Linked DNA regions of Pelodiscus sinensis. The protein of the gene in region 1 interacts with the protein of each later gene in a pairwise test. Links are inferred from orthologs where the notes say so. Each region holds a gene or a part of one and is shown in the gene's direction. Other genes may lie near its edges.

What was found.
Region 2: the proteins of OPRM1 (region 1) and GJA4 interact in binary tests that used the Homo sapiens proteins (3 or more experiments, as listed by UniProt). The link is inferred for Pelodiscus sinensis from reciprocal best matches to the Homo sapiens genes OPRM1 and GJA4.

The regions. Positions count from the first base shown.
Region 1 is NC_134713.1:109,683,905-109,699,841, forward strand, and holds the start of OPRM1 (mu-type opioid receptor), read left to right. Parts: upstream 1-8,437; 5' UTR 8,438-8,579; coding exon 8,580-8,884; intron 8,885-15,937. UniProt on the Homo sapiens protein: Receptor for endogenous opioids such as beta-endorphin and endomorphin. Receptor for natural and synthetic opioids including morphine, heroin, DAMGO, fentanyl, etorphine, buprenorphin and methadone.
Region 2 is NC_134735.1:6,567,328-6,583,264, forward strand, and holds GJA4 (gap junction alpha-4 protein), read left to right. Parts: upstream 1-8,758; 5' UTR 8,759-8,913; intron 8,914-9,155; exon of another isoform or gene 9,156-9,304; intron 9,305-11,418; 5' UTR 11,419-11,435; coding exon 11,436-12,443; 3' UTR 12,444-14,523; downstream 14,524-15,937. UniProt on the Homo sapiens protein: One gap junction consists of a cluster of closely packed pairs of transmembrane channels, the connexons, through which materials of low MW diffuse from one cell to a neighboring cell.

The DNA.
Region 1 (15,937 bases):
CTTGTCAAGATTATCAACATTTGGCTTGGCTGGGTCAAATGATGTCAGTTGTTCTGACTTTGTTGGGTTAGCTCTTAGAATCACATTGTTCTAGGTGACCAGTTTAACATCTAGCTGCTCTGGAACACAATAGTCTGCATATTACATAACTCTTAAAACACTTGCTATGCATACATCCTGCAATACCATGTCAACCAGCAAGTTCCTAGCCACTGGCAGGGGCCATACATGCCTCTTTTTGATGAATACTGTGATGATAGTGATCCCAGAAAAAACATAGGCCATGTCTAGGCAAGTTCCTTGATATAGACTGTATATCCTCCATCTGTGAAAAACATAAGGCATGTGGTTCACAGTTAGCATGAAGAACCAGAATCGATGCACCCACTGGCACGCTAATGAACACCACACTTTTTTATTTTCCATTGACGTTCCTTACTACATAGTGAAAAGAGAGATAGTGCCTCATGTTCCTAAATTGTATATATTGTGCTAAGGCTCACATGCTTTTACTGTTCAGTCCAATAGCTCACATTAATGAGTTTAGACCAGGCTATTCCTGGCTATAGTATGGTATAACTAAAGTGAGACATCCCTTGCACAAGGGCCAGGGAAAGGAGCACTGGAAAGACCACTTCTTCTATAGTTCCTGAGGAGTCTCAGTCACCCAAAAGTGAATATTTAAGGAGCAGGGCTATAATCTTACACACACAAATATAAACCTTTCTTCAGCTAGTTGGACATAGAGAGGGGAACACAATTCCAAAGAAGAATTCACACCAAAGAAAGAAACAGGAGAGCTGTGTGCTTGTCCTTGGTGCAAGGTAAGGCACAGAAACACATATCAATGAGCTTGAATAGAGGTTACTATGCAACCCTGCTTGTTCTATAAAAATACTGCAGGAGTAAGTAGAAAAGGACAAGATCTGAAGGGAAAGTAATGGGTTTTTCCATAGACATAAAGCTAAAGAAAAAGTGGGTTAATGGTATAGATTAGACCAAGATCAGGAGAGGAGTGAGCTGAGTTATCCCCCACTTAATTGCCATGTCATCTGCAAAAGCTTAACTCTTCAGAATGGAGGGAATGAGAAATAAATCACAACTTGTTTGTTTTTTTCATAGAAGACCTTAGCAAATGGTAAATATACATTTTGGCAAGATTCATTTGTTTCTCTGACTGCTGGTTTCTTTGCACACACTGACTACATAGGGTTTGTCTACGCTGCAACACTATTTTAGGATACTGGAGTCTCCCGAAATAATTATCCCATGCCTTTACAGCAAGCCCGTTATTTCAGGCTCACTATTCTGTATAAACCTTATTCTACAAGGAGTAAAGGACTTTCGGAATAGTGCTTTATTTTAAAATGTTGCACGTGTAGACAGTGAAAAATTATGAAATAAGCTATTTCAAAATAGAATCTAAATAAGATATGCAATTTGCATAGCTCAAATTGTGTATCTTATTTCAAGCTACGGTGCAGTGTAGATGCACCCATAGTAATTTCACAATAGTTCAAAGTCCCCTTTTGTGTGAGGACTAGGAATTGAGAGTTGTTATCCTCTCTGCTCCATAGATTCATATATTCCAAGCCCAGAAGAGACACTGTGATCATCCAGGCTGATTTCCTGCATAATACAGGCCAGAGAAGTTCTCCAAAATAGTTCTCAGAACATATTTTGTAGAAAAACATCCAGTCTTGATTTTAACATTGCCAGCAATGTGGAATACACCATGATCATTGTTACAGTGCTCCAATGGTTAATTACTCTCACTGTTAAAAATTTACATCTTATTTCCAGTCTGAATTTGTCTAGCTTCAATTAACCTTATTATAAATTTTCTGCAAGATTAAAGAGCCCATTATTAAATATGTGTTCCACATGTAGACTACAATAAAGTATCATTAACCTGCTTTTTGTTATGCTAAAGAAACTGAACTCTTTCATGTTTTCTAATCATTTAATCATTCCTGTGAATCTTCTCTGAACTCTCTCCAATTTATCCACATCCTTCTTGAATTGAAGGCAACAGAACTGGGCACAGTATTCTAGCAGCAACTGCACCAGTGCCAAACAGAGGTAAAATAATAATTTTACTCCTACTCAAAATTTCTGTTTATGCACCCCAGGAACACATTAGCTTTTTTGGCCACAGCATCACAGTGAGAGTTCATGTTCAGCTGATAAATTACTCTGAAAAAGATTTGAGGATTGTAGATACTCTCCAGGATAGAGTGCTCTATCCTATAAGTATGGACTATGTCCTTTGTTCCTAGATGTATACATTTATGCTAGCAGTATAAAAATTCATATTATTAGTCGGTGCCCAATGTACTACGTGATCCATAGTATTCTCAATCAGTGACCTGTCCTCTTCATTATTTGCCACTCCCCCAATTTTTATGCCATCTCCTAACTTTGTCAGTGATGATTTCATGTTTTCTTCCCTATCACTGACAACATTTTAAATAACAATAGCGCCCAATTTCAAAATAAGCTCTTTCGACCTAAACTCGGAATAAGCTACACAATTTGCATAGCGCAAATTGTGTAGCTTATTCTGACAGAAAGGTGCTATCTAAACACACCCTAGGTCTTTGACTGCCAGAAGCTGGGACTGGACTACAGCGAAAGGATCAGTCAGTAATTGTCCTGTTCTGTTTGTTCCTTCTGAGCCATCTGTTACTGACTGTTGGATGATAGGATTCTGTGCTAGAAGGACCATAGGTCTGAACCAGTATGCCATTCTTTGTTTCTATGCATATGGAAGAAGGCTGAGATAAGAGGATAAGAAGAGGCATATTGGATTCTTTTACCAAGACAACAGTCTACTGATCCATAACTGAGCTTCCTGAGAGTGTAATTTAGCTCTGCCTTGTAGACAGAAGAGTTTGTTAACTGCATTGCTTTCTAAATCCCCATTTCAGACATTTCATTGATTGAATTCTGACTGCAGCTGGATAAATAATGAAAATGTGTTCATAAAATACTCCTTGACGAAATCCTGCCAACCTTCTCTATGAATATTAACAAACTCAGTTTGTGACCCAGTGCCCTGGACTCAGTCCTGACACAGGTAAGATAATGCAAAGCAATAACAGCAACAGGACTTAAATTGTGCTTCGTTCTCTGACAGAAAAAAAAACCCAAAGTATCTTCTAAGAGCTTTCTAAATCTGCATCCCTTCTATGCTTTGTGCATTAAATGGAGGTCAATAATATTGAAGACTTCTTATAAGTAATAATTGGTGTTTATTAAATCTTGCAGCTTTGCACTGGATTGAGAGTAGTGAGAGTTATAATGACAAAAGCTACTGACAGCATTTGCTTCAGCAAAGGAAACATGGAGCACTGATTGCCTTTCTGCAGCACAGCCCTTTCCAGAATTTACTACTAGTCTCCCAGCAAGGAACTTGAGATGCTTCCTGGGCATAGCCAGGGTTGTTGTGAGGCATCTTGCTACCACCTGTCCTTAGCACAAGCAAGCCATGTTCTCACCTGCTGTGTGTCAGGACTCCGGCATCATTAGCATCTGACAATACTAGCATTATCCTCCAAGCTACCACAGTCCTTGCTCTCTCTTCACTGGTTAACAGGCACATTTCAACCCTTGAGCACTTAGCAACTGCCAATATGGCTCTTCTCTAATCTACAAACCAGGTGTGCCTGCCTTCCCAGTGTCCAAGAAATCAACACAGCCCTCTTACAATCCCTGGTGCAACTCAGGCTCCTTGTTCTACATAGGAGAAGCCTGCCTGCCTGCCTGCCTTCACAGATAGTCAATTGTTTGGCCTTCCTCCTCTTAAATCCAATACCCACCAGGATGGGGGCTAAGTGAGGGCGGTGCTGCTTTTTAATTCCTTCCTATCTGGTGCAGGATTTGTCTACCCTGTCAGAGATGAGTTATTTAAAGTTCCTATCACCAGACACTTAACATATTCCTTTAAAATATCTTTTAATTAGAAATGCACCATACTTGTTCTGAGTCCAGGTAAACATTCTGGAGAGAAAGTCTGAAAAAAATCTGTTGGGCCATTTCTGTATCATAGAAAAATACAGATTGTCCTGCATTCACTCTGCATGCTGACCATTCAGAATGGCTTTTTCCCCCTAAACTGAAAATTTTGCTTGTGTGTAATCATCCCTGCAATTTGAAGGAAATTGATCTAGGTACACAGAGGTTATAAACTGTAACTCTCCAGGCACACACTATCCTTAACTGTTAAAGGCATGTCAGAGCACAATCTTCCAGATAAATGCACACATCTGAGTGATATTGCTACACATTTATTTCTAGGCATTGATATTTCCTTCAATGATTAATCATTTCATCAATTCATACAAAATGTTTAAATATATGCCATGAATATTTGGGACTTGGCCATAACATAAACACTCTTTGAATCAAATGCTCCTTTTTCCAGAAATTATGCTCTGACCTGGGCCAGATGAGCAGAGACCAAACGCTGCAGGAGAGACATTGTGGACGTTGACACCATCCTACATGGCTTATACCTTGATATAACTCAAGGACTCTTTTAAGGGTCATCGTCTCACATTCCTGTAAGAAATACCTTAGGAGCTGAAGTGATTTGACTGCAAATGGTGGGTTTCCATTCCTGGATTACTAAGCAAATATAGGCACCTGTCTGCAACCTGAATTTAAGCACCCAAGAGGCATGTAGCTTATTAGCCCACACTCTGGTGGACATTTCCCAGTGGCTAGTTTATGTGTCTTCCACACCTAAGCATTCTGGCTTTTGTGGATTGCATTCTTAGGCACCTCTCTCTCCCCATTCATCATATAAATAGATTAGGTGCTAATTGTGTATTGCAGTATTGTTCCAGGATTCTCTAGGTGCTATAACTCTCAACTTTGCAATGCCTGCCATTGTACATACTAAAAATATATTGCGATTTCATTGTCCACTGCCTTTGATTTTCTAATTTCCACCTGTGCAAGTGAGTATAAAGTGCATCCAGAACAGAATACATAGATGTAACTTACAATATGCAAACAGATTCACACACACCAGGTGAAATGCCAATCCATGTAAATAGTAGGGTCACCTACTATCCCTGTTTTAAGTGGAAATATCACAAGTACCCCCAAAATTTGAGGGATTGAAAGTGACATTCTCCATAGGTTGTCAGGGATGTGCAAGCTAAAAGCCACATTTCTACCTCCTAGGTGTGCCTGTTATCTCTTCTCATCTGACTCAGCAGAACTTTGAATATCCAGGCCTCAATTATCCTATATCTCCTGTTAACAAAAAGAGGGTCACATGCATTAATCATATTAAGGATACACTTGATACACAAAAACCTTCATTATTCAGATTTATTCAGTGTCTCCTATGCCACTTGAGTAATAAAGTTTGCACTGTATTTATAAAATGCTGTGTTTAACCAGTTTTCTTTTTCTTTAACTTACCTCTGAAATGTTGCTTAATGAAGCTTGATCTTAGTGGAACTAACCCCCTGAGGCTTCTTGCCAGGCCTCAGTGAAGTCACGGTTTTCACCTGTCAAAAGGTCAATTTCATTTACCATTTATTTTTTCTCATGTAATAAATATTATGTACTAGCCCATTTAATCTAGTCATCAATAGTTCATTTTAAAGATTAAACAGTCTTCCTAATGACCAGTCTAATGAGTCATTGAGCTTTATTAAAATAAGACCAAAATAGGCAACAAGTGGTTGTGATAATTAAGGGACAAGAAGGGATGAAAACAGACTCTGCTAGCAGCATTAGTTTCTGCCCTACATCTTCTTATTAAACCTAGAAGAGGGCTAGGCACAAGCACATCACAAGGATTAATGATCACCTGGCTCTACTCCTGAGTTAAGCTGTTAGAGAACTTTGATGGAGGTTGGGGGGTTAATAAGGAGGGGCTGCTCCACTGTGTGCATGCTCCAAAATCCATTTCATTGAGAGTTGTAGGCTACATCTACACTGGCAGCTTCTTGTGCAAAAACTCTTTTGTGGAAGAGTTCTTGCACAAAAAGTCTTCCACAAGAGCGCGTCTACACTGGCATGTGCTTTTGTGCAAGAGATGTGCTTTTGCACAAGAGCATCCATGGCAATGTAGATGCTGTTTTGTGCAAGAAAGCTCTGATGGCCATTTTAATCATAGAGACTTCTTGCACAAGAAATTCATGTTGCCTGTCTACACTGGCCTCTTCTGGAAGAGCTCTTGCACAAGAGGGCTTCTTCCTGAAAGGGAGCATCAGAGTTCTCGCAGAAGAAGCCCTGATTTTCTACAGTACAACGTCAGTTTATTTGCACAAGAATGCCAGCATAGACAGGCAGCATGTTTTTGCGCAAGAGCAGCCGTTTTCACACAAGAACGCTCCAGTGTAGACACAGCCATAAAGTTTCAAGACTTTCTTACCTACTCATTCTGCATGCCAGAAAGTCCATCTCCTCATGAAAGGAGAATGAAGCATCAACTTTGAAAGAATGTATCTGAGTTGCTGCTATATTTCCCCCCTCTCCTCTAGATTTTCACACTGGAGAAGGACGTTCCTATGTTAAACACCATTTAAAACTTTTATTCCAACTGATTATGCCCCATCCAGACAGGCCTTAGGAATTTTGAAAAAAATCACCTGGTTGTAGAAAAGTGCATACAGATCATTACCAGCTTGCACACACAGCAGGTTCTTTGACCTTTCTCCTCCACTTCCCTTACTACTCCAATACCCCTGATGATATGTCACTTTAGAAAAAAGGGAGAATATTCCCCATTACCCAGATTTATATACCTGAAATAATTATTTTCCAACTGTAAAGTCCTAAGGATTCTCTTCCCCTCCTCCTCGCATTGCTAATGAACTGAGGTACTTCATTTGCTGCTCCCTCGCTAATGATAACTCCTTTAACCTCCACCATGAATGCAAATATAGCACTTGTTCTTCCCTAGTATGGGATGGGATGAAAGTAACTCCTAACTCCCAAAATGGATGCTATTCAGCCATCTTGCCTTTCCTGAGTGTACAGTGACTAGACTTTGGAGCCTTACACACTCCTATGCAACTCTGACACAGGTGTGACCAGATATATCAATATTAGGGTCTTTGTCTATATAGCACTCTATTACCCCACATACAGTCCTCCATCATGATTTTTCACACCTGCTATCTGGTCACCCTCCACATCCTCACTCTTCCCTACTCTGCAGTCAGAAGGTGTATTGACCCTGAGCAGTGAATGAGCTAGACCAGCAATGTAATGCAGCATATGTAGTAGTTACACTGCCAGCTATGTTTCTTGGTTCCTGTTCAGTGGGAGTTAACTTTTTTTTTCTCTCACTTGCAGTGGAGCTTCTTTGATTTCAAAGATGTGACAGCAAAAGAATGTAGTCCAAGAAATGCTGAGCAGGCAGGCTGTTTCTGGAAATGCACATGATTGTCCCTGTGCAGCTTTGGAATGAGTGTTCCATGTAAAAGTGCCAACCCATCCAAACAAGCAATGTGAAAATAAAATACATGTCCCCAGCCTTCAAATGTGAAACTTATTAGTCTGTTCCTTTGAATGTTAGCAAATCGTGTAAAATCTCCACTCTTGATCAAATAGCTGTTATCAGCTCAAGCAGCAGTTTCTCTGGTCACAATCGTTAGGTTTCGTGAAAAGCAAATTACTTCCAACACACACGTCTGTTTGCCTATCATTTCACAACCTGTTGCCATATGGGCAACCACATTTTATTCTTACATACACTGAAGATATCTAAAGAGGACAACCCCCCTATAAAGCACCCCGACTTCTTGTATTAATCAGTTACATGTTGAACATATTATACTCTCCGGCTGTTTAATCTCCAGCTTCTGGTCACATTCTCGCTAGTGGTGCTGGCGCTTTCTTGTGCTCCAGGATCTAAGTGAACCAGGTGCCAGCTCCCGGGGAAGGGGAAATTTGAAATTATTGTATGTGCCCTTGCTGCCAGGGGCTGGGGCTGCAAGACTGCAGTGCAGTTGGGAACGCTAGTGGGGTGGCTTGTCCTGGGAGCTGCCCTTGTGTGCTTCTCCGCCCTCAGAGAGGGAGAAGGAGTGGGCAGAAACAAAGCAGGTAGAAAGGCTTTGGAAGGCGAGACTGGAGTTCAGATGCTCTCTCCCCAGTTCCTCTGCCCCAGGGGCTGTACGAGGGTGGGCAGGCAAGGGGCAAGAGGAGTGGAGAGCCAGCGCCGCGCGCGGCTTGGACACAGCAGCGGAGTCACATGTCCTCCTTGTACAAGTCCGGTGCCCAAGAACAAAACACCAAGAGAGTCCCTCCTCCCCGCTTTCCCGCTGCCGCCCGCTCCGCCTCTCCGCGCTTGTCCACCCAGCTCACGCGGGTGCCGCCCCGCCAGCGGCGGCAGCAGCGCACGTGAGGAGGTTGCGCGCATCTGGCGGGCGGGCGAGCGAAGCCTTTTCAGTGTCTTTCGCGCTACATCCCGCTCAGCCGCCTGCTCCCCGGCGCCCCCCGGCCCGGCCCGGGCAGGGCAGCTGCCCGCAGAAGCCCAGCACGTGTCAGGCTCCGCTCGCCTCGCTGCCTCCCGCTCTCGCCGCCGCTCACCTGCTCCCGCGGCCAGCACCATGGACAGCGCCTTCCCCGCCAACTCCAGCGCCTGCGGCCCCTTCGCGCCGCCCGCCGCCAGCTGCCCTCCGCTGCCGCCGGGCGCCTGGACCAACCTGTCCGGCCGCCCGGAGGAGCCAGGCTGGAACCAGTCCGACCCCTGCAGCGGCAGCAACAGCAGCCAGGAGGGAGGCAGCGGCAGCCTGTGCCCGGGCGGCGGGGTCAGCCCCTCCACGATCACGGCCATCACCATCATGGCTCTCTACTCCGTCGTGTGCGTGGTGGGGCTCTTCGGGAACTTCTTGGTCATGTATGTCATCATCAGGTAAGGGGGGAAGGAGGCTGCCCCGGGGCTAGGGAGAGCGGGGGGCACGCACTGAGGCCTGGGGGGGTGGCGAAGGGGACGGAGACCAGGGTGGCTATAAAGTACTAAACACTTCGTTCTGAGTCACTTTCCTCCGCTTGACACCGAGGTGGGGAGAGACTGGACGTGGTGTCCTTGCCCTCGACTGGCTCGGCTGCAAGTACGGTCCTGCCCGGAGATACTTTCCACTGGGAGATGTGCCTCTCCCCCCTTGCTGTTCTCCTGGACACCTAGATAGGGGCTGAGAGTCTTGCAGCTTTCCTCTTCAGGCTTCATGAACTTGGGGGTGGGGCAGGTCTTTTAGAGAGACCTCTGTTTCTCTCGTTCTCTGCCTTGTGGCTAATCGTAGAAGCTAGGGAATTGTGTTGCTGAAATACCCTATGCAAGTCAGGGCGCCTCTGCAAGACGAAGTGCTGGGGGAAAGTTGTGCTCTAGGTCTGGCGGAGAGAGCACATCTCTCCCAAATATCAGACCAGAAGAAGGCAACTGAAGGCTTCTGTCTGATGGAGGCAATTTCAGCAAGGCGCAGAAGTGAGCTACCTAACTGAATAATAATAATTTAGAAATAAATTACTGCCATATCTTCCAGAGGCAAAAGTGACGTGTATTTGTTTAAGGAGCAACTTGTTACCTTCATGGCAGTGATTTTTATAATTTAGTAAACACGACCTGAGTGTCCAGAACAAGTACCCTAAAATATGTATATTCGCAGAACATTTCTTACTGCTTTCACACGAAATCCTAGCACACTAGGTAAGAAGACAAAGGGTTAGCACGAGGTTTTTTTTTTAACACCCCACACAAATGAGAATATTATAAAACCTAATATTTTTTCACTCATCCCCACCCCTTTCTTCCTGGGGCTCTGTAGTTTCCTCTTTGACATGCCAACTGACCTCTACTAAGAAAAGGATGGGGCTCATTAAAATTAATTACTGCTTTTCTGGTGGTGTTGCTATATTTTGCAGCTTTCTAACAAATAATCTCACTTCCAGATAAATATATTTACTAGTGGGTTTTTAAAAAATAAGTTGTGGTTGTTTCATAAGGGAGTCTTCTACTCCACTTGCAAATCAGATTTCTTAGTACAAGGCAAAGAAGAGAGGAATGAAATTTGCTCCTTACATTTGTCTAACATTTGCTTGAAATCAGATTACAATCACTTTCCCTGAGAAAACAGCACCATCTATTGAAAGTACTGATCACAACAGATAGACTTGCTGTAGGAAATGGGGGTTCAATTAGAATACATGTTCTAGTGAGAAGCATCTTTCTTGCATTACTTTGTATGTAATTTTTAAAGATTTCATGATGCGATAAGAGGAGAGAGAAATAATTTTACACATTAGAGCAAAGTTATAAACCATTCATGTTTAAGTAAATAAAAACAATAGGATGCCTTACCAAAGGCAAAATAAGACTAGCAGTTATTTTCTAAAATTGTTATGTTTTTCTACTAATTTAATTTTGTTGTTTTAAAATAAATTTGTATTTTCCAGGGAATAGAAGAAGGGAACTTTTTAATGTCTGATTAAACCTGGGACTCATGAGGCAGATTGGTGTAGCAGGGCACGATTAGCAGGAAAAGCATGGAAACTAGATGCTTGTGATGAGATCCTAATGGTAACTGAAAGGACAGACAAGAGACAGTCCCAAAGCATCTGTTTGCACTGCAGTCACAACCACAGAAACTTCACAAAGGACATACGAAAACACAAGGTTTGAGGTATTGATGAGAATAGAAATCTCTCTCACCCACAGTATTTATTTAAGGGCACTAGTAGCATGCTAGTGAATTTATGGCACACCTATTAAATATAAGCCAATTTGATAGGGTTAATGGAAATAAAGATTGAATAAGTGGTTCAGACTGGAGTAGTCCTAACCCAGGCCAGGGAGTTGTTTTTTCAAATTACCTTTCAGGTACTGGATTTTAAATTTAAATAGCTGGAAAGATTCTGTACCATTTCATGGGGTTACCAAATCAAGATATGGCATTTTCTGGCAACATTCCAGCTATTTAAATACTTCTAAATGTCATTATCACCACACTTACTCTATGCATACATTGAATGTATTAAGCTGGGGAAAATCAGATGTATAATATAACACAGTAAGTATGAATGTAAGCAAATAAGCGTTGTTTGGGGGGGGGGGGGTTAGTTATGCCAGCTAGAACCTGTCCAATAGCCAATAACTGATCATTACATTTTAATTATTTTGTAGTTATTATTATTTGTACTACAGCAGCATCAGCAGGCCTCATTGTCCTAACCATGCTACATAGTCATTGTAAGGGATGACTAACGTCCCAACGATAAGAAAAATAGACAAGTGGAGAAAGGAAATATTATTACTTTCATTTTACAGATGGGGATATGAGACACAAAGAGGTTAACAGTGGGATTCATAAAGGTACTTAGGCACCTAAGTCCCAGTTTTAGGCCCCTCTGAGATCCACAAAATTCCTGCTTGGCTGCCACTTAATTTTATATGCACTCAGCACCTATGGTTTTTCAGTCAAGGTCCCTATGTGTCTATGCTCCTGCTTGTGCACATGTACACTGCAGCCACCTGCTAGGCATCTGGGCACTTATCTCCTATCTGAGACCCACAGTCATTCACTAACCAGGGGAAGATAGTGTGACTGCCTAAATTTGTGGGGATGAGATTTCATGCAGTGGGTATGTTCAAAGGCTGCCTACCAGATTGGATTCCTCAGATGCATTTACACAAAATTGCCACGGATGAAGACAAAGCAACCTCCTTCATGGCATTTATCCCAATGGTTAAGGTACACACATAGGTTCAAGTGCCCCCTCTGCCTACTAAATTAAGCAGATTTGAACAGGGATGTGCCACCTTGCAGCAGAGTGATTTAACTACTAAACAGTAGAGTCATTCAAGCCATCTCTGACTCAATATTTCATTATTTAATTAAAACAGAACAACTTTAAATGGAGAGATTGAGGGAGACCCATGTCAGAATGTTATATTATTTCAATCGGAGTTAGGCACCTAAATGCCTATAGGGAACTGGACTTGGGTATCTTGCATGATCAGGCCCAACAAGAACAGTAATGACACAATGTTCAGAGGTGTTGAGCTTCACTAACACCCAAATAAATGTCTCCTTTGGAAATGTAGTTGAAAACATATGGGCTGCGTCTAGACTGGCAAGTTGCCAGCTGTCTACATTGGCCACTTTAATTTGCACAAGAACACTGGCCATCTAATGTAAGATTGTCAGTGTTCTTGTGCAAATACTATGATGCTCCCACTCAGGGATAAGCCCTCTTGCACAAATGTATTTGCGCAAGAGGGCCAGTGTAGACAGGAGAGGACTGTTTTGCGCAAAAAAGCCCCGATGGTGAAAATGGCAATCGGGGCTTTCTGGAGCAAAACCGCATCTAGATTGGCACGGATGCTTTTCTGCAAAAAGTGCTTTTGCGCAAAAGCATTCATGCCAATCTAGATGCTCTTTTCCACAAATGCTTTTAATAGAAAAACTTTTCCATTAAAAGTATTTACAGAAAATCATGCCAGTCTAGATGCAGCCATGGAGTTGCCCCATAGTTAAGGTGAAAACTCTGTTAGAAGTACTCAAACATCTACCTTCTAACTCCTCCAAAAAGAAAAGTTCTTTTGGCACACACATCTCAACTCTGAGTGCATAATCTTTCCATATCTTATCCTTGATAATGCTGAGAAAAAGTTTTAAAATTATGGGTTTGGGGGCCTCAAGTTTGCAAGTTCTTATATGATGTTCAGGCCTAGTGCTAATCCACTGTTCAGCTCAAGTCACTTCTGCAGCTTCTCCCTTATTCTCTGGAGTGATGGGACAAGTGAAAGACATCAGTTTAAATGTGAATCTCAATTTGCAGATTAGAGGCTTTGCTTATCTATTTGTTCTTTTCCTTCACGAAATTTTTGCCACTAAAGAGAAGTACTTGGCAACTATGCAGTGGCATTCTCACTGATGCAAGGTCAGGTTTCCCTGATTTGCTCATAACTTTTTACAGAATGGTGTATATGTACATTCGGGATATCTGCATCCTGTCAGATCAAGCTGTGTGTAGCTATTTCTAAGTTGTTTCTATCAGTGATGATCAAGCATCTCCTCTCCTCTATTTCTAGAGCTTAAGTTTTATAACCCTCCATTGATTTATTGACTATTATGGTGCTTTATCATTTATTTTCTTCATGTAGTCCATATAAATATTAATTCAAAAAATAATAGAGTTCTGTAATGTTTTTCAAGTAACATTAATTATAATTTTCTTCTTAATTTAACATTTTACTAGGCAAACATTAAAAGCTATCAGATTTAGAAAACTTATGCCTAAATAAATCTGTAAGTCTTTAAGGTGCCACAGAACTCCTCATTGTTTTTTGCAAATATACACTAAAATGGCTCTGAGACTAAGCAAACATTGTTAGGCCACAACAAATGTGACTTTCAGCCATTAAGTAGCACATAGTCATGATATGCTATTAGTAACAGAGTGAATTCAGTTACCCAAATCTGTGGATGCCATCCTGCTCCCATTTAAGTCAGTGGGAAATTTTTCATGAATAGGCATGAAAGGAGGCCCGGATCCTCAAAGCTGTTTAGACACTTAATGCTCAGTGGTCTTAATGGGAGGTAGCTGACTAAATACCTTTGAGGATCTGAGACTAAGACTTGAGCATATCCAGTATTAGGCAGATTGGCTTACATTTGTATTATACCATACTTGATATAACAGTGAAGCCCAGAAAACAGAATATTCACCTGAGGGCCCAATCCTGCAAGGTGCTGAGCTCCTTGTGAGAGGAGTTTAGTGCCTTCAAAACCCAGTAAATTAAATGGGAACTGAAGGCACTACACACATCTCAGGACTGGAACCTTAACTACATTTCTGGTAAGTTAAGAAGATTGACATACTCTTGTTGACATGTTCTTTACAACAAGAAATGCCTTTGCCAAGTATCAAGACAGCAAGTGATTTGCCTCATACACCAAACCTGAAATTATAATATAAGAACAGTCATATTAGTTCAGACCAGATGGATCAGGTCCATCTTGTCCAGTATCCTGTCTTCTGACAGTGACCAATATCAGGTGTTTCAGAGGGAATGAACAGAACAGGACAATGAAAGATCTGTCCTTTGTCATTCAATCCCAGCTTCTGGCCATTAAATATTAGCACACCTATCTTTGACAAATGGTAGAAAGCAAAATTCCTCCCTTCAGATTTTTCAGGATGTGTTTTTACTAAGGATTTAAAGGTAATATAAGTAGTGACTAAGCCCAGTGAAACTGATGGGAATCTTTTGGAATCTTCACTGGGTTCTGGATTAGGCTCTAGAGTCTAGAGAAACAAAGAGTAACATTACGTTTATTTTTAATCACAAAATATGGTTTATATGTGCAAACAACCGAACATTGTACTTTACTTTGGCAGTCCAGACATGTTGGTTAGAGCCCAAGCTCTTGCCAGGACATATTTCAGAATCATCCCTTTGTGACCAGATAGAGAAGAGGGAGCCACAGACAACAGCCAATTCAGCCTGAACGTGCCAGGGTCTGCATGTATTACCTACTGATAAAACAAGTTAAACTTCTTCAAAATTACCAATTTTAAAACCAAATATTTCACACAGAACTCTTACCTTTCTCTAAGTATTTTGCTTGCCATGACATTTTTCACATTTATTCCACTTATCAAAATTATGACCAACATTTTCCATGTAAAATCTGGGAATTCAGTGGTGGGCTGGCATCTAGCAATTGAAGTAGACACAATCCCCCTCACTAGGTTGTCCTAAGAACTCTCAAGAATATGAGGCAGAAGTAAGACTGCTCAAGATTTGGATGAGAAGCAATGGTAGAAGAGAAAGAATGCTCTGGGTTCATGATAGGAGGCATGGGAAATGTCTGGGGCCAAACTAAGCCCATTCAGGACACAAAGCACACCATAGCATTAGGAATCAGTGTAATGCTATTGCACATATTTGATAGCAACCAGGCTAATCTCTCCCCTCTGAAATGGTAAGGTAGCAGCATTGCTCCTCCCCCAATACTTGGCTTTGTAACTGAGGTGAATCTGCTTGGGTGAATTGGTCAGACACATCGCACTCTTCTGCTCCTGCCTCCTGTACAATGATTTGCTAGATTAGTGTTGCCAGGGTACCTCTGAGCAGAGGTCTGGAAGTTAACACTCCACTGAGATGGACTGTGAGGTTCCCTTCTCTCTGGGTATGTCTAGACTACATGGCTCCATTATTGGAGCCATACATGGCTCCATTATTGGAGCCATGTAGACGAGTTTACTAGACATAGGAAAATGAAGCGTACTCTGAGAGTCTCTGCAATCAGAGGGTATATCTAGACTACATGGCTCTATCGACGGAGCCATGAACATGAATTTACTAGACATAGAAAAATGAAGCGGGTGATTTAAATAATCGCCACTTCATTTACATCAAAATGGCCGCCACGCTGTGCCGATCAGCTGTTTGGCGGCACAGCGGGGCAGTCTGGACGTATTGCGGTCGACAAGGGAAGACTTTGTTGATCGCTTCGCTATGCCTCCTGAAATGAGGTTTACCGGAGTGGTCAACAAAGGCTTCCCTTGTCAACCGCAGCGCGTCCAGACTGCCCCACTGTGCCACCAAATAGCTGATCAGCACAGCATGGCTGCCATTTTTGATGTAAATGAAGCGGCGATTATTTAAATCACCCGCTTCATTTTTCTATGTCTAGTAAATTCATGTTCATGGCTCCGTCGATAGAGCCATGTAGTCTAGATATACCCTCTGATTGCAGAGACTCTCAGAGTACAAACTCAGACTGATATCATTGCATTGGCTGCACTTCAGGGGCATTTTTGAATTTTTCTTCATAACCAAGAAGGCTTTAAAACTTTTTTTAATCGAAAGACAAGTTTCTAATGTAATCACAAATCCCAGTAGCTAGAGCATCTGCCTCAATTCAGAATCAATGTTGGGGGGACAGAATGGATGGAAAAT
Region 2 (15,937 bases), on another chromosome or scaffold:
CACCCGGAGCCAAAGAAATGGCCTGCAGGTAAATGAGAAGCAGGCCTCCCGTGTTAGCGTTTACAACCAGCGATGCCTCTCACCCATGCTAATGCTGCCCTGCATATCACCCAAACCCCTGTTGCCCGGGATTTTATACCCACGGGAATGACTGCATGAGCATGCAGCCTTTTGGGTCAGCTGATTACCCCTGTGCAAGCCGGGCTGCTCCTCTGATCTGCACTTTGCACCCCCCGTGCAGCAGCCCGCAGGAGGATAACGACTAATCGAGCCCCTGATATTAATGACTGCCCCATTGGCCCACCTGAAAATGAACTCCATGTAGCCCGTCGCGGGGTGTTTCTAGACTACCGAGCCTGTCCAGCAATGGCCGCATTGCCCTCGAGAGGAGATACAGCTTACTCCAACGGGAAGAGCTTTTTCTGCCCGGAGAAGATCCCCACCTCCCTGAACAGTAGCTCTGCCAACAGACGCCCACAGCTGCGTCGGCACTGGGAGGGTGGTCAGCATCAGCATGGCTCGTGTCTAGCCTCTGGCCAACATGCCAATCACTCTAGCTGTGTTTCTCAGGGCTCCGAACACACGGCCTAACCCCTGGTGTGGACGTGGCTGAGTCGATGGAAGGATGCTTACCTCCGCCAGTGCTCAGGCTGTGTCTGCGCTGCAAGGGCTTTTAGTGCCACGGCCCTGTCGTTCGAAGTCAGGCAGTTCAAACCCCGTGTGTCTGCACCCCGTTCCATGAGCAGGGTTTGCATGAAGGACAGGAGAGTGCTCCTGCCAACAACGAGCCGTTTACGCTGCTGCTTGCCATGGCAAAATGTTTTTCGTCGAGTAGCGGGGGGGGGTAAGCCCCCGTGAATAACAAACGTGGTGTCACTCAGCTGGCCGTGTGGACAAAGCCTCCAAGGATGGATTAACGACGCGTCCGGGAAAAACGCCTCTCTTGCTATAGCGCCAGAGCTGAGTGGCAGTTCGATGGCTACACCCTATGGATGTGAGCAAGGATGGTAGGTAGTGTAGGCAAGGGAAGGCATTGCTTTCCCAAAACTGTCTACACTCCCCAGCTGCCCTGGAGGGCTTGGGGCCGTGTCATATGGCAGTCCAGAGGTCGGGGCAGGCTGGCGCTGTGCTGCACGGCAGCCCAGCTACTTGGCAGCCAGCAAAGGTTGGAGCCGTGCCGTGTAACAGCCCTGGCCCTCAGCTGGGGTTGGCTGGCGGGGGAGGTTGTAGACAGGGCCTGGCATAGCCCGTTTCCACCAGCGGAGGAGCCGTCCCATCGGATTTGATGTGTCAAACCAAGCCAAGTTCTTTCGTTTTCTTTTGGTGAATGTCCCCCCCCCCCCCCACTGCTATTGGCTGGGGCACCCTGAAAAACGCTTCACAGCAGCGAGATTGGTATTTTTCATTGTACAGCTGGACTGCTTCATACCTTGGGCTGGGGGATGCGTGTTCTATCCTTGGGGGGCCAAATGATCATTTTATTTGCCTAATTAACCAGTGATTGAATGGCCAAATAAACGTTACATTTGTTTATACGTACATGCCTGTTTTCTCTGAGGGATGCTTACACTGCAGCACTGGCCCCCACTGAGACTGCGTGCTGATTTCAACAGGGGACCACTGTCTCTTATTTCAGGTACGTTGCTCCCCTGTTTAGGACTTAGGGTGCGAGGTGCTGTACATTCACACCATTCAAAAAGTCCCTGCCCCAAAGACCTTGCAGTCTATATAGACAAAGGGAGAAATAGGAAACTGAGGCACAGAGAGGGAAAGTGACTTGCCCAAGATTGCCCAATAGGGCAGTGGCAGAGTCAAGAATAGAACCAAGGTCTGCTGAGGTCCCAGCCACTGGACCATCCTGTTCCTGCTTCAGATTGCCCATGGATGTTGGCCTGGGTTTAAGTTTACTAAACATTGGGTGACCATAACTTCTCAAAGGGAAAATGGGACCCCCAGCCCAGCGGACCCAAGCCTTCCCTGCCTCCCGTCTGTGGCTGGGCTGAAGTTCCCCTCCCCACCAGACCCTAAGCACCCCCCAATCTCCAATCATCTACCTGCGACCCCCTGCAAGCCCCTTCCCCCTGCACATGGGGTTGGTCTGCCATGCCCCCACCACCACCCGAGGCCACACGGCACCCGCCTGCACATTGGGCTGCCGAGATCCCTCCCTCCTGCCAGCAGGGCAAGTTGGCTAACCCAAGACGCTGCCCCTAGCCACTCACCTCCTCCCCCATCCCGCATGTTCCACCGTGCCCTGCTAGGGATCTCACCCCGATTGTTTGGGCACAGCTGGGCAGGGGGCCAGTTTGCTGTTGCCAACTGATGACCTGCTGGCAAAAGTGGCATAAATGCCCAGTTTTGTCAATCATAAAGAAGTCAGGTGGCCCAGGCAGGGCCGAAACAAGGGACTGTCCCAGCCAAAATGGGACATCTGGTCACCCCAGCTAAACACACAGCGCCCCAGGAACGAAACAGAGACCAAAGGGAGGAGCAGCACAATACCCCATTATTCCCTTGCCGCTTGAAGGGAGTCAGGGCGACTGAGGTCATGGGGTGGTTAGAGGCACCGTGATGGAGCATGGCTACCAAAGCCGGAGAAGGGAGAGGGGCGCCTCCGGTTTGGCGAAAGGAAAACTCTTGCCGCTGGTTAGTCCCGAGATGGGTGGCTGAGATAAGGCAGGTAGAAAACAGAGCGACTGGGAGAGACGGGGATGGGCAGAGGAGGATGGATGGATGGATGGATGGATGGATGGACGGGTGGATGAGCCCATGCCACAGACTTCACCTGTTCGGCTTTAAGGGACTGGCTCAACCCAACCAAGAGGTTGAGGGATTTGGGCTTGTTTAGACTACGGGAGGAAGAGGTGGATTTGAGAACAGCCTTCTGCTTCCTGAAGGAAGGTTCCAAAGAGGATGGAGAGAGGCTGTTCTCAGTGGTGACACATGGCAGAATGAGGAACATTGGTCTCAAGTTACATTGGGGGAGGGCTAGGTTGGAGATTAGAAAAAACTATTTCCCTAGGCGGGTGGGGAAGCGCTGGGACCGGTTCCCTAGGGAGGGGGTGGAATTTCCATCCCTGGAGGTTTTTAAGTGCCGGCTGGACAGAGCCCTGGCTGGGATGGTGGAGTTGGGGTTGGTCCTGCTTTGGGTAAGGGCTGGACTCGATGACTCCTGAGGTCTCTTCCAGCCCTGGGATTCTCTGCTTCTAAGCAGAGTTGGGCCCGACCCATGAAACGGTGCTGAGGGCTTGGCCTTGCCCCGGCCCACCGAGGCGCCGCGCTGGCAGTGCATCCATGTGGGCCTGTCGCCGGGACGTGCCCTGCCCACGACGCAGCCTGCCCCACATCACTGAACGTTAAGTCACTAGTGCCAGGCTCTACTGCCCTGGAAATCAAGACGGGTTCGGCATCAATTACTCACGGATCATTGCAGCCCCCAGGGGTGGTTTCCATTGAGTCTGTTGCTACACAGCCCCGGCTCTGCGTAAAGGGCCTGTCCACTCTTGCGCCCGCTGGGGCTTCGTGCTCCACTCAGCTGGCTGGGCCCCATCTCCCAAGAGGGTTCCCTGGCAACTCTTCCGTGGCCCCACCCCTGCCCGGCTGCCAGGAGCCAATGCTGCGCCGAGGTCGGGGGTTCGGGAGCGGGAGACACGTCCGGCTGCTCAGCAGAGCCGGGGTTCCCACGTGGACCAGCAGTTCAGAAATCCCTCCCCCCCCCCCCCAGCCGCACCGATCCCTTCTCTCGGGATGATCCAAAGCCCCCGAGGTCCATGGGAAAACGCTCATGGGCTTTGGCTCCAGTTCAAGCCAAGGAGGGAAAGAAATCCCGGATTCCTTGGATTGCAGCCACAGGAAAATTCCCTGCTTTAAGCCGCACCCTGGTCCGTCATTCCTTCCCCCCTCGCTTTTGGGAGACTCTGACACCACTAGCAAACCGAGAAATGACCTTACCGGTGCTGTCATGGCTCAGTCATTCTGGCGGGTGGACAAGAGAGGCCCCCCCCAGAGACCTCCAGCCCGGAGGGAAAGGTAGGCAGCAGCCTCATCCCCGATGCAGGTCAGAATCCTCATCCTGTTATCCCTATTGCATAGATGGGGAAACTGAGGCACGAAGTGACCCAGGATCCTCTTTGCTTTGGTTCCTTTGCCCCTCATTTGACCTGGGAGGATTTTCACTGCTGAGGAATGCTAAGGCTTCCGGGCATGTCTACAAAGACAAGGCTTTGCCTAATCCCAGTCACACACCAATGAGCCCTCCCCCCCCCCCAGAAAAGGCCAGGCCTGCTCCGAGAAGATTGCCAGGCACCAGGCCAAAGGGCAGAGTGAAGGGGATGCCAACTGCTGGAGACACAGCAACTCGCGGACGGCTCAGACGTTCAGGGCAGAAAACAGACCAGCGACGAGCTGCCAGCCCGGCTGGAGGGGAAGCGTTTTATAGTCCCACACTGGAGCAGCTAAGGACTCCCACACCTGACCCTGAGTTGACACCAGTGCAAATCGGGAGCAACTGCTTTGACTTCCATGGGCCCGATCCTCGGCATGGATGTAAATCAGCCGACCCCATTTGCTTCAGGGACAGCAGTAACCACTTCCAGCTGGGTGGAACTGCATTAACACCCCAGCGGGCGTGGGTCCCAGGTAAATAAGGGGCAGAGACTCAGGCCCAGCAGCTACTAACTGGAGCCCTTTGAATAAGGAGGGACCCGGAGTGAGGAAATGAAGGTATCTCAGCTAAAGGGACCACACCGGCCCTGCCTTTGTGTTTTTACAGGGCCTGGCACATCGTGGGGCAACCAGAAACACTCTGACTTGTTACTGAGTCCCGTTATTAGCGACCATGCTCAGAGTCCTCCCCCACCCTTCACGCTGCCCCTCCCCACTGGAGGATACGCCCCTTCCCCGGGGGTGAATGCCGCTTGCGGCCATTTGATATTAACCTGTCGCCTTGAGTTGACAGGATGTGCCGGAGGGTTGTCATTGAGTGCATGACCCCAACTCCTGCCCCATCCTGGCCCAGCCCAGGTAAAGGGAGGGGTCTGAGCAGTGGCTGAGGATAAACGGATGAGGGAGGGCGATCCAGCTGTTGGTGTCTATTGTATGACATCTGGAAGAGCCCCCTGCCAAAGAGACTGAGCAGAGAGCAATACAATCATCTGTGACCCAAGAACAGTTCCCTGGCATGCAAGCAACCCCCCTCCCCCCGCCCCCCATACATTAAACACATCGTCTGGGGCGGTCACAAGCACTCAGCACCCGCCGAACGCAGGTGCCTTGGATCCCAATGGGACCGAAACAGGCAGAGACGATTAACTCCGTGCTTCGTCGCTTGGCTTGATCGAGGCCACGTTCCGATCCCCAGGCCCACGTGGCGTTCCGTCCCGCGGCGGGAAGGTGACATCAAGCCATTCCTCGCTCAGCACAGCTTCGGAATCAACCCCCCCCCCCCCCCCCCCCACTGCCCGACTCGTGGGAAGCTCCTCTCGGAGGGCTCCTGGCCGTGTTCGGAATATCCATCATCGTGCCTTTCAAAGAACCCATCAGTCCTTAGATGTGCCCCCGGGGTATTTCAGCAGCAATCTCCGGTGACTCCAGTGCGGGAGTTAGGCTTAGAAATCTGACGGCCCGCTGTGGCCCCGGAGTGTTTAATTAAGCTCATCCTGTTAGATCAGCGTGTGCCTTTAACTGAGTGAAAGGTTTCTTTATGAGAGGGAGGGGGGCTGTATGTCTAATAGTTCCTCTAACCAGAAGATCAGAAGTTTCAGTGGTTTGGGGGACGACTCTGTCATTCTAGCACCACCCAGGGGCCAAGCTGATGAAAGAGCCCTGCTGGCATGACCTCGCCGCCTCCTTCCTCCTGGGATGTGGGACAAAACCACAGCTGGGTTTGTCTCAGTACCAGATGGGGGAGAAACCTAGAAGAGCGGGATTGTCCTGCTTAAAACCCGACAAGTGGCCTGCATAATAGCTACATGACATTGCCCCATGTAGCCGAATACCTCCTAATCTCTGCAGGTATTTATTCTCCCGAAGCACCCCAGGGAGGCAGGCACATCCACTGTACAGAGGGAAACTGAGGTCCAGAGAGATCCTGGGGGACATTTTCAAAAGCATCTAAGGAATCTAAAATATATTGGGACCCATAACGTAATAAGAACCAGGGGGTCACCAAATGAAATGAATTGGTAGCGGGTTTAAAACAAATAAAAAGGAAATATTTATTCACACAGTGCACAATCAACCTGTGGAACTCCTTGCCAGAGGATGTTGTGAAGATCAGGACTTTAATAGGGCTCAAAAAAGATAGAAATGGCGTCCCTCGCCTCTGTTTGTTGGCTAGGAATAGGCAACAGGAAAGAGATCTCTTGATGATTCCCTGTTCTGTTCACTCCCTCTGGGGCACATGGCTTTGGCCATGGTCAAAAGACAGGACATTGGGCTGGATGGACCTTTGGTCTGACCCAGTGTGGCCATTCTTATGTTCCATTCTTATGGGACACAGGTGCTATTGGAAATGGAAATAAAGCTATATCTTGTGGGGGAGGGAGGAAGGATGGTCCAGTGGTTAGGGTGTTGGCCTGGGTGTATTTCCCTTCACTGCCACAGACTCCCTGAATGATCTTGAGTCACTTTGTGCCTCGGTTTCCCCATTCATACAATAGGGATCACAGCACTTCCTTTCCTCACAGGGGCGTTGTGAGGATAAACACATTACAGCCTGCAAGGTACTCAGAGACAACGGGGGCTGGCCAAGGACCTTACATGGTATAAAGAGATGCTTTGAACCTAAATGGCTGAAAACCACTCCCCTTTCAGACAGCTGCTTGGGCCCATACCCTGGAGACCAGCCTGAGAACTCAGTGTCTTTCCTCCCAGCGTCTAGACAGCGGGGCTATTTCAGGATACCGGAAGTGTCCCAAAATAGCAATTCCGCATCTTTAAACGCGCCCGTTATTTCAAAATAGATTTCAAAATAACGGGAGTGCTGTTCCTGCGTCCCTGTAGCCCTCGTTCCAGGAATATTCAGGGACTCGTCGGAGAGGCGCTTTAGTTTGAAATAACCTTGAAATGTGCATAGGGAAAATTACGTCGCTTATTTCGAGGCAAGGGGGCTGGGTCGACATTGGGGAGTTCTGGCGGGGCACCTGGCATGGCTGAACCCTGCTTTCCCTGCTGCCCACGAGCCGTGGCCTCCCCCTATCTCTGGGCATAAGGCCGCTTTTATCTAGTAGCCGGAAGGTGGAATTTAGGGACCAGGCTTGGAAAAAGAGCAGCTCTAAGGTATCCCCGCTGTTTGGGCAGAGAATGAGGCAAGGGGGGAGGGACGGTGGCTTATTTGGGTGGATGAGAATAAACTGGGGTAGAAGAGGGGAGGGTTTGCATTGCCCTGCAGAATCCTGTGCCCTGTGATTTCTCCTGCGGGCGCCTTTCTCGGTCTGTCCAAAGGGTGGTGCTGCTCTCTCGTTAGCCTGCTCAATTAGGAATGCAGCAGCCCAGAGGTGAAAGGGAAGACATTCCTGGAAGCACTTTTAGTCGGGCCCAGCTGGCCACAGAACTAGGGCTGGTACCAGTGTGATGGCATTGGGGGGGGGAGGGGGGAACAGCCACCCAACCCCCCACCCTGCACTGGCACCAAAGGGGTGTGGAAGCCAGGCTGTGGCCGGAGAGCGAGATTCGGAGCTTGGCAGCCCCCCCCCCCCCCACCACGTTTACCCAGGTGCAGGGAGTGCGGCGTGCCGACATGTGAGAGGAATTCCGAGTGTAGCCAAGGGAATAGTCCTGCCTCCATTAGGGAAACCTCCTTTTAGGGCGAGCCGTCGTTATCAACCCAGTTTTAACTAACCTGTTTTAACCAGCGCACCTAGCGAGCTCAGGGCTTTGCCCTTCTGACAGGATCAGCCTAGCGGGGCGTGGGACCCTCCAACCCTGGCCGCCAGCCTCAGCACAGACCACTAGAACCGGAAGGGACCTCGCGAGGTCATCGAGTCCAGTCCCTGGCCCTCGCAGCAGGACCAAGCTCCACCTGGACCATCCCCGACAGGTGCCTGTCTAACCTGCTCTTCCGTATCTCCAGGGATGGAGATTCCACAATCCCCTCAGCAATTTATTCCAGAGTTCCACCACCCTGCCAGTGAGGAAGTTTTTCCTAATGTCCAACCTAAACCTCCCTTGCTGCAATTGAAGCCCGTTGCTTCTTGTCCTAACAGCACAGGGCTTCTCGGGGATTTGATCCCAGGACGTCTAGCACCCCAAGCAAGAATCATGCCCCTAGACGGTCTGTCAGACGGAGCTTTCCCCAGGGACGATGCCCCCACAGAGGCCTGGTTACCGGTGGACTCTCACCGCTAGTCCCCTTGCCAGGGATCTTCCCAGCAGCCCTTCCCCTTGTTGCTTTTGGCTCAGCGGGGGAAGCTCTGACCCGGCCGGATTATTATTATTATTTCAGCCCTGTCTGGCTTGTTTTCCTCCATTTCCTATTTCCAGGCTCCCCGTCCCTGTCTGTGACAAGGCCGCTCTCCCCACATTCCAGAGGCTAGTCCCCCCTCCCGGCGCTGGGCTCTTCCCCAATATCTCTGAGTTCCCCCGACTCTGCAGCCAGGAAAGGAATCAAGTCCCCTATCCACCCCCGCCCCCCGACACACACCCCAGCCTCACACACCTGCCAGAGCAGCTGCCCCTTTAAAGGCAGGCTCTGCAGCCGGGCTTTAATTTTTGCCAGCCCCCAGTTTCCTGCAGCTCCTCCCCCACCCCCCTGTCTAACTCTATCCAGGGTCCGTTTCCTCCTTGGCACTAATAGTTCCAGGGATCTGGTGGGAGCAGCCGCCTGTGTGGAAAGAGCCACACGTTCTAAGCCCCTGGTCCCAGCGGGGGCAGAGCCTGGTCCCAGCCGGAGGGGCACAGCTGTGCCTGGCTTAGGTGAGTAACTACCAGACTCCAGCTGGCTGCTGGGTCCCTCCTCTGAGCAAGCCCCCAGGGCAGGCTGGGCAGCGGATCTGCTGTGAGCCTGCTGGGCTTAGGGACAGGGGCTGCAGGGAGGAACCAGGGGAATGCAAAGGGGGGCTGTGTCCCACTGCCTGCACCTTTGGGGTGCATGCCTCAGCCCCTGGCTTAACCCCTTCCTGACTGCACCTGGCCCCAGCCACCTCTCCCTGCCCTGAGCCTTAATTGGCTAATTGGCAGGTGTTGCTTACAAAGGAGCTTCAGGCCCCTGCTGCGAGGTGCTGGTGGGAGGAAGGAGCCGTGAGCCAGTGCCCTTAAGGGGGTGGCTTAGCTCTGGGGGGTGAGCGATACCCCAGGAAGGAATTGGGTGAGTGAATCTGACCCCCTTTGGGGCTGCATGCCTTGTCTGGCCATTGCCCTGCTGGGGGGGTGTTAACATCAATGTCTGGCCCCGTGGAGCTGGGTTTGGAGTAACTAAGCTTTGCTCCCCAAAGGGTAAACCAGTGGGAAGCTGGGGGGTGGGTCTCTGCTTTGTCAGATGCTGGGCCCCTGGGGAAAAGGCTGGAGCCTCTGAGTGTTTTCACCCTGGTCTCCTACCCCAGCCCCTCCACTGTTTCCAGGGCTCCTTGAGCCTCAGTGGCTGGGGTCTCTCGGAAGTGACTAAGGCTGTTGGAAAGGGGGGGCCCACATGAGGTGGGGGGCTTAGCTGCAAGGGTGGTTTGTAGGTGCAGGAGGTTCTGGTCCATGCCCAGGGCTTCCTTGGGGGAAATGGGGCCCTGGGCAAACTTGTGTTTTGGTGCCCTGACCCCTGTGGGCATAGAATGACCCATTTCCCATGGGCTCCCCAACTCCTGCACCCCCATCCTGTGCCCCCTTGGCCCCTAACTGCTGCACAGTGCCCCCTTCATCCCCACCCCTGTGCTTCCCCCCAGCCCCATCCTTCCAGTATGTCTTGCCATGCTGCCCCCCTGCCCCACTGTGCCCCTTTCCCCCACACACACACACACCGTACCTTCCAGCCTCTTTGCATAGCAGTGCCCATGTCTGGTTGCCCCTTACCCTCTGCCTATGGTCCTCTGGGTATAAGCCCAGTTTGCCCAGCCCTCAGGCTGGTCCTGTGTTCTTACATCCAGGGGCTGGCTGGTGCCCTTGGCTCGGGGAGAGCTGACCTGTGCGGTGCCTGGCACTCGCCTGCCCTAGGGCACTTGCCCAGCTCTTACAAGAAGCCAGGGGACAACTAACGCCCATGTCCTGCCCCAATGGGACTTCTGCTGGGGGGGGGGGAAGCATGGCTGGGCCAACCCCTTCAATTCCAGGGTCACTAAGGAAGGCAGTGCTGGCAACTGGCCAGGAAGCTGAGAGCTGGCCTTGAACTCGCCCTGTGCCTCTAACTAAAAGCAGCAAGCCCCAGCGGTACGGTGCTGCTTTCCCATGGCCCCTTGGGACAGCTGGACTCCCTAGTCCGGTAACTAAGGTTACTGGCTCCTGGCCATTACCAGGCAAAAGTGGTGCCACCTCGTGTGGGTGGCTAGTGCTGTCGGGGGGTAGCTTTCTCTGCTGGGTTTTTGTGGTCTCCCTGTGTGGGATGAAGGGGGGGTGCTGGGTCTCTGGAAGGCTGGCATCTTGCTGGAGCCCTGGTAGGTGGCAGGGATGGGAGCCTGCAGAAATATCTCTTCTACCCCCCCCCCCCCCCCCCAGTGAGCTTTCAGGGCTGAGAACTAGCCCAGAGTCAAGGCTGCCCCTGCCCATAAGCAAAATATGCAGCTGCATTGGGCTCCAGGAAACTTGGGGCACCACATTTTTGTGGTGCCCTACACAGCCGTGTGCTAGGTACAACTGTGCCTAGCACAGCTGTCTCTAGGAGGTTGTGGGGCCTGGGAGCCCCCTCCAGTCTCACTCCCTCCACCCCTGAGATGGCCCTGCCAGGCCTCCCAGGAAGTAACCGGCTCCCTGTGCTCTGATGGGCTGACTGAGCCAGCTGGACAAACTCCCACCCCAGCTGCCACTGGTAGCAGAAGGTCTTGTGCTCCACAGTCTAGGGATGTGACTGGTTAACCAGTAAGTATCGCTCTAACCGGGGATGCTTACTGGCTATGGCTAACCAGCAGGGGGCTGAAGCTGCCCCCCTCCCCAGCCTGGCAGAGCCCAGCAGAGGTGTTCCAGCTGGGTCATAGCAGGTAGGGCTTCCCCCCTGGTTAATCAGTTAACTGGTTGTAGTTAACAAACAGGATTTCACATCCCTCGCTGAAGCCCCACCCACCTATTGGCACCCGGTGCCAGCTGCCAGTGGGTGTCCTTAGCGCTGTTGTAGCTCTGAAACCCGAGCTGGAGGGGGTGGGCAGGCTGTGGTGTCTGCCCAGCCCGGTGCCTGGCATCCTTGGGAGCAGAGGGGTAGGAAGCCCCGTGTGTTCCCTGCCTCTGGCTCGCCAAGGCTAAGCTGTCGGGTTGCCTTAACTCTTGTCCTCTCCTTGCCCTCAATAGCACAAGTCCTCTAGAAGATGGGGGACTGGGGCTTCCTGGAGAAGCTGCTGGACCAGGTCCAGGAGCACTCGACAGCGATTGGGAAGATCTGGCTGACGGTGCTCTTCATCTTCCGGATCCTCATCCTGGGGCTGGCCGGGGAGTCGGTGTGGGGGGATGAGCAGTCGGACTTCCTATGCAACACCAAGCAGCCGGGCTGCGTCAACGTGTGTTACGACAAAGCCTTCCCCATCTCCCACATCCGCTACTGGGTGCTGCAGTTCCTCTTCGTCAGCACCCCCACCCTGGTCTACCTGGGCCACGTCATCTACCTCTCGCAGCGGGAGGAGAAGCTGAAGCAGCGGGAGAGCGAGCTCCGGGCGGTGCAGGTCAAAGACGTGAAGGCGGAGCAGGCGCTGGCGGCGGTGCAGAAGAAGATGGACAAGATCTGCGTGGCAGAGGACGGGCACATCAAGATCCGTGGCTCCCTGATGTGGACCTATGTCATCAGCGTGGTCTGCAAGAGCATCTTCGAGGCCGGCTTCCTCTTAGGCCAGTGGTACCTGTACGGCTTCTTCATGCCGCCCATCTTTGTGTGTGAGAGGGACCCCTGCCCCCACAAGGTGGACTGCTTTGTCTCCCGCCCCACGGAGAAGACGATCTTCATCATCTTCATGATGGTGGTGGGGCTGATCTCCCTGGGCCTCAACCTTCTGGAGCTCTTCCACCTCTGCTGCAAAAACCTGCTCAGCAGCCTAAGGAAGGCCTCTTCCTCCTCTCCCTGCCCAGCTGGGGACATGGACCCCTTCCCAGACAGTAAGACGTGCCACTACCTCCCCCTGAGCGACAGCCACTCCCCTCCCTACCTGACCTACAACAAGCTCTCCAGCGAGCAGAACTGGGCCAACTTCAACACCGAGGAGAACCTGGCGCTGCGCAATGGGAACAAACCCACCTCAAATGGCTATGCCCTGGCCACCCAGCCCGTGCAGGAGAGGCAGTCCAGCCGGCCCAGCAGCTCTGCCTCCAAGAAGCAGTATGTCTAGAGAGCACTGAAGGGGTGTCCATAGGCCATAGAACCAAGGGAGTGCCACGGGCCTCTTGGCCACGTAACCTGATTGCTAGAGAGACTTTTAAAAAAAACAAAGCTCTCCCTGGAGACCCACTTTGGCTAACTGGCAGGTGCCTCCTGCTCTCTGCTGCCTGTTGTGTGTCTGTATTTAAAGTGTGACTGCTGTCGAGGTGCTTCCAGGTGTGCGCAGACTGGCCAGGCCATAGGATGCCAAACCTGGGTTCAATCACATGATGCGTTGTAGCCAGCTGGCTGCCGTTTACAGCGCCAGGCCGATTCTTACCATTCTGCTGGGGAACTGTACTTTGGGCTCCGGGAAGAGTTGGGGGTTGGGAGTTATTCGCCAGCGCCAACAACTGTCATTGACGTTGCCGAGGGACCAAGACTCGCCTGTCTCTGGCTGCAGTCCCAGGAGGGCTGTTGCTTTGTCCTTTTAAACTGTGTAGACAAAATCCCTCCTTCCGCTGAATGGGAAGCCGCCTGGGATCTGGGGTGTGTTCCAATCCAAGGCGCTCTGCATTGGGGTGGGCCAGCTACTGAGCCTTTGGGGCAGGGGATGTGGGATGATGGCCATAAAACAGCAAGGGAGCAGATGTCATGGGACATTCCCTTCTTCCATCTTTCCTGGGCTGGGCTTTGTAACCCGGACTCTGCACCTCTCTAGGCAGAAGCTTTAATCCCTAACCAGGGAGGTAATCTGGCCCAGCCTATGCAAATAATTCCATCACCTGGGGGAAGTGGGGAGCAATTTCTTTGTCTCCAAGGTCTTACGCGTCTGCAAGCGTTCGGCAGTTCCCCAGGGCAGCTTGCTGTGAATTAATTTGGGGGAGGGGGGAGGCACTTAAGTGGCAGCTAAAAGACAGTCAGTCAATACAGCTAGCCCTGCTCATAAGTCTTTTTTTGGGGGTGGGGTGGGGTGGGGAGGGGAAGGGAAATCCCCTACCAAAATAATCCCAACAGCTAGCTCATGCCCCCCAAAGCTGCATGATTCAGTAGCTTCTCCAGGCCAGCTGGCAGGAGGAAACCCTAATGCACTAAGGCAAGGCTGTACCTCAGGTTTTGGCACCTGTCTCCCTGCCTTCAGTTGCCCCACGGCAGTTAGAAGCCCGGTTCCCTGTGCCGGTTGAGAGGGTTTGCAGGTGTAGGCGATTTCCCCGGGTCCTACAGCCCTGGTTCTCTGTTCCAGGTGGTGTCATTTCAGGGAGGCAGCTTTCCAGGGGTTAACTTTATTTTAACCTTCTGTAGACAAAGCGACTGTCTCCCAAACTGCCTGTTTCTCCCTGGCTCTGGTCAGCTGTTGGCTAGTGTTAAATGTGAACCTTCACTTCCCGGCCGCTCCCTTGGGATGGGTTCAGACCAGCTGGGAATGAAGCCCCTAGGCTTATGGAGTGTGAGCCTGGGGGGCTGCCCACAGACTCAGGCTGGGGGGAAGGGAGCGAGGAGGCTGTGGGTTATGGAGTGTGAGCCTGGGGGGCTGCCCACAGACTCAGGCTGGGGGGAAGGGAGCGAGGAGGCTGTAGGTAAGCGACCTGCCTGCTTCAGAGACCTAGACCCACAGATGGGGCTTCAGGCCGATGACGCTGTTCCGAGCTGGCTTTCCGCAGGATGCCCCAGAACCAGCAGTGGGGTCTGGTGAAGGACGGGGAGGGGTACAGCTGGGTGGTGGGGTGCTCTCTGAACTGGCTTAGGTCATTGGCTATTTTACTTCAATGAACACCCCAAACTTTTTTCTTTATTTCAAAAAGAGGGGAGGGGAGGGGGGAATCCAAGTCACTTTGTTTTGCACACGTGGCCTCCCCTGCTGGAAGTGTTGTGGGCCGCTGTCCACGGTGAGAGAGCAGACTCCAGTGAATTGAGCCTGCATCCCCCAAACTGTGAAACAAAACAGTCGAACTGTGGTGTCCTGATGGCTTCCGTTGCAAGTGGAACAAAACCGAGGCTCTGTGTCCTTGCCTCACCCCAGCGCACAAAGTCCGAGCCGAGAGCGGCGTAAAGGGAAGCTGCTCCTCTGGGAAGACGTAACGTTTTGTTGAGTAAAACTTGGATGTAAAATACCTACTGCTCTGTGTGGTGCTTTCTCTAATGGGGCGCGTCTAGTATGGTGGACCGCAGGTCATGGCTCCCAGCTTTTTGGTGTGACGAAGTGAGGGCTGTAGGGGTTTTATTCCCCTTCTTCTGTTGCGTGTGTGTTCTCCTAGGGAAGTTAAGTGTCGCTTAATATGGTAACTGCTGGAAATCTTGGTAGCTACACACAGGGTGGGCTCTTTCCTACAAGTGGAGCTGGTAGTCCTTGCCCGCCTGCATCCCAGGGCGCAGGCTGTACTGCTGAGCTAGCTGATTTTAACTAATCCCGTTAACTTGTATAAGCACCCGCTTATGGGTTAAATTCTAAGGTCCCTCTTTTCTACTGTCCTGCCGTAACCCCCTCTGCCTCAGTTTCCCTGGGCACTGCACCAGTTTCTAGATCAGCAAGCACCAGCCTATAGAGTGGGATCTACCAGTAGATCTTGGAGCCTCTGACAGGTGATCCTGACTGGCTTGGCCAGGCAGCTATCAAGAGCTGGCCCTTTAGTTGCCCCTCTGCCTGTTGCCAAGCTGTTCCTGCCCTCTGCCTTGAAGCTGCCCCCCCGGAAGCCGCCTGCTTGCTGTGCAGGGTGTGGCAGGGAGAAGAGGCAGGGCTCTGAGGACCAAGTTCCCTCACTCATGTACCCCATCTCCACACAGAGAGAAGGGGAGAGATCTTGGCAATGCAAATCTGTCACTCACATTCTGTGTGTTTCTGTCATTCTCTCTCTCTCACACACACACACACACACACACACACACACACACACACTGCCCTTTGCTCTCATCGCCTGACACGTATGTGTGGGGGGAGGGTTGTTACTACTTTTACTGCTGGTACAGTGGGTTATTTTTGGTTTTGGACTGGTCTGTGCATTTCATAATTTTCATCTCTCTCAATTCTTTGAGTAGTGAGTTCTAAAATGCTGAACCGGCCATGGCGGGAGTAATTACCCCTGTGGTAATTGCTGCCCCTGGAAAGGGTGGGCATGTCCCTGAGAGGCCGAGCAGGGGGTCTCTACATTGCTGTCTTTGCCCACACCACCACTCCGGCAGCTCCCATGGATGAGTAATGGGGAACCGTGGCCAGTAGAAGCTGTGGACTCAGTGCCGGTGCATGCAGGGCAGCACATGGTGCCAAGGAGCCAGTGCTATCCATGCCAGCTGTTTTCAGGACAGGGCCAGGGCAGGAGTAAGCCTGCCTTAACCCCACTGCTCTGCCACCCAGAAGCCATCTCCATTAAATGGTGCCCAGCCAGAACCCCTGGCCCAGCCCTGAACCTCCTCCTGCCCCACATGAGTCCCCCTGCACCCGAACTCCTTCCCAGAGCTTGCACCCTGAAATCCCTCCTGAACCCTAATCCCCCACCCTGGGCTAAGCCCGGAGCCCTTCCCACACTGTGA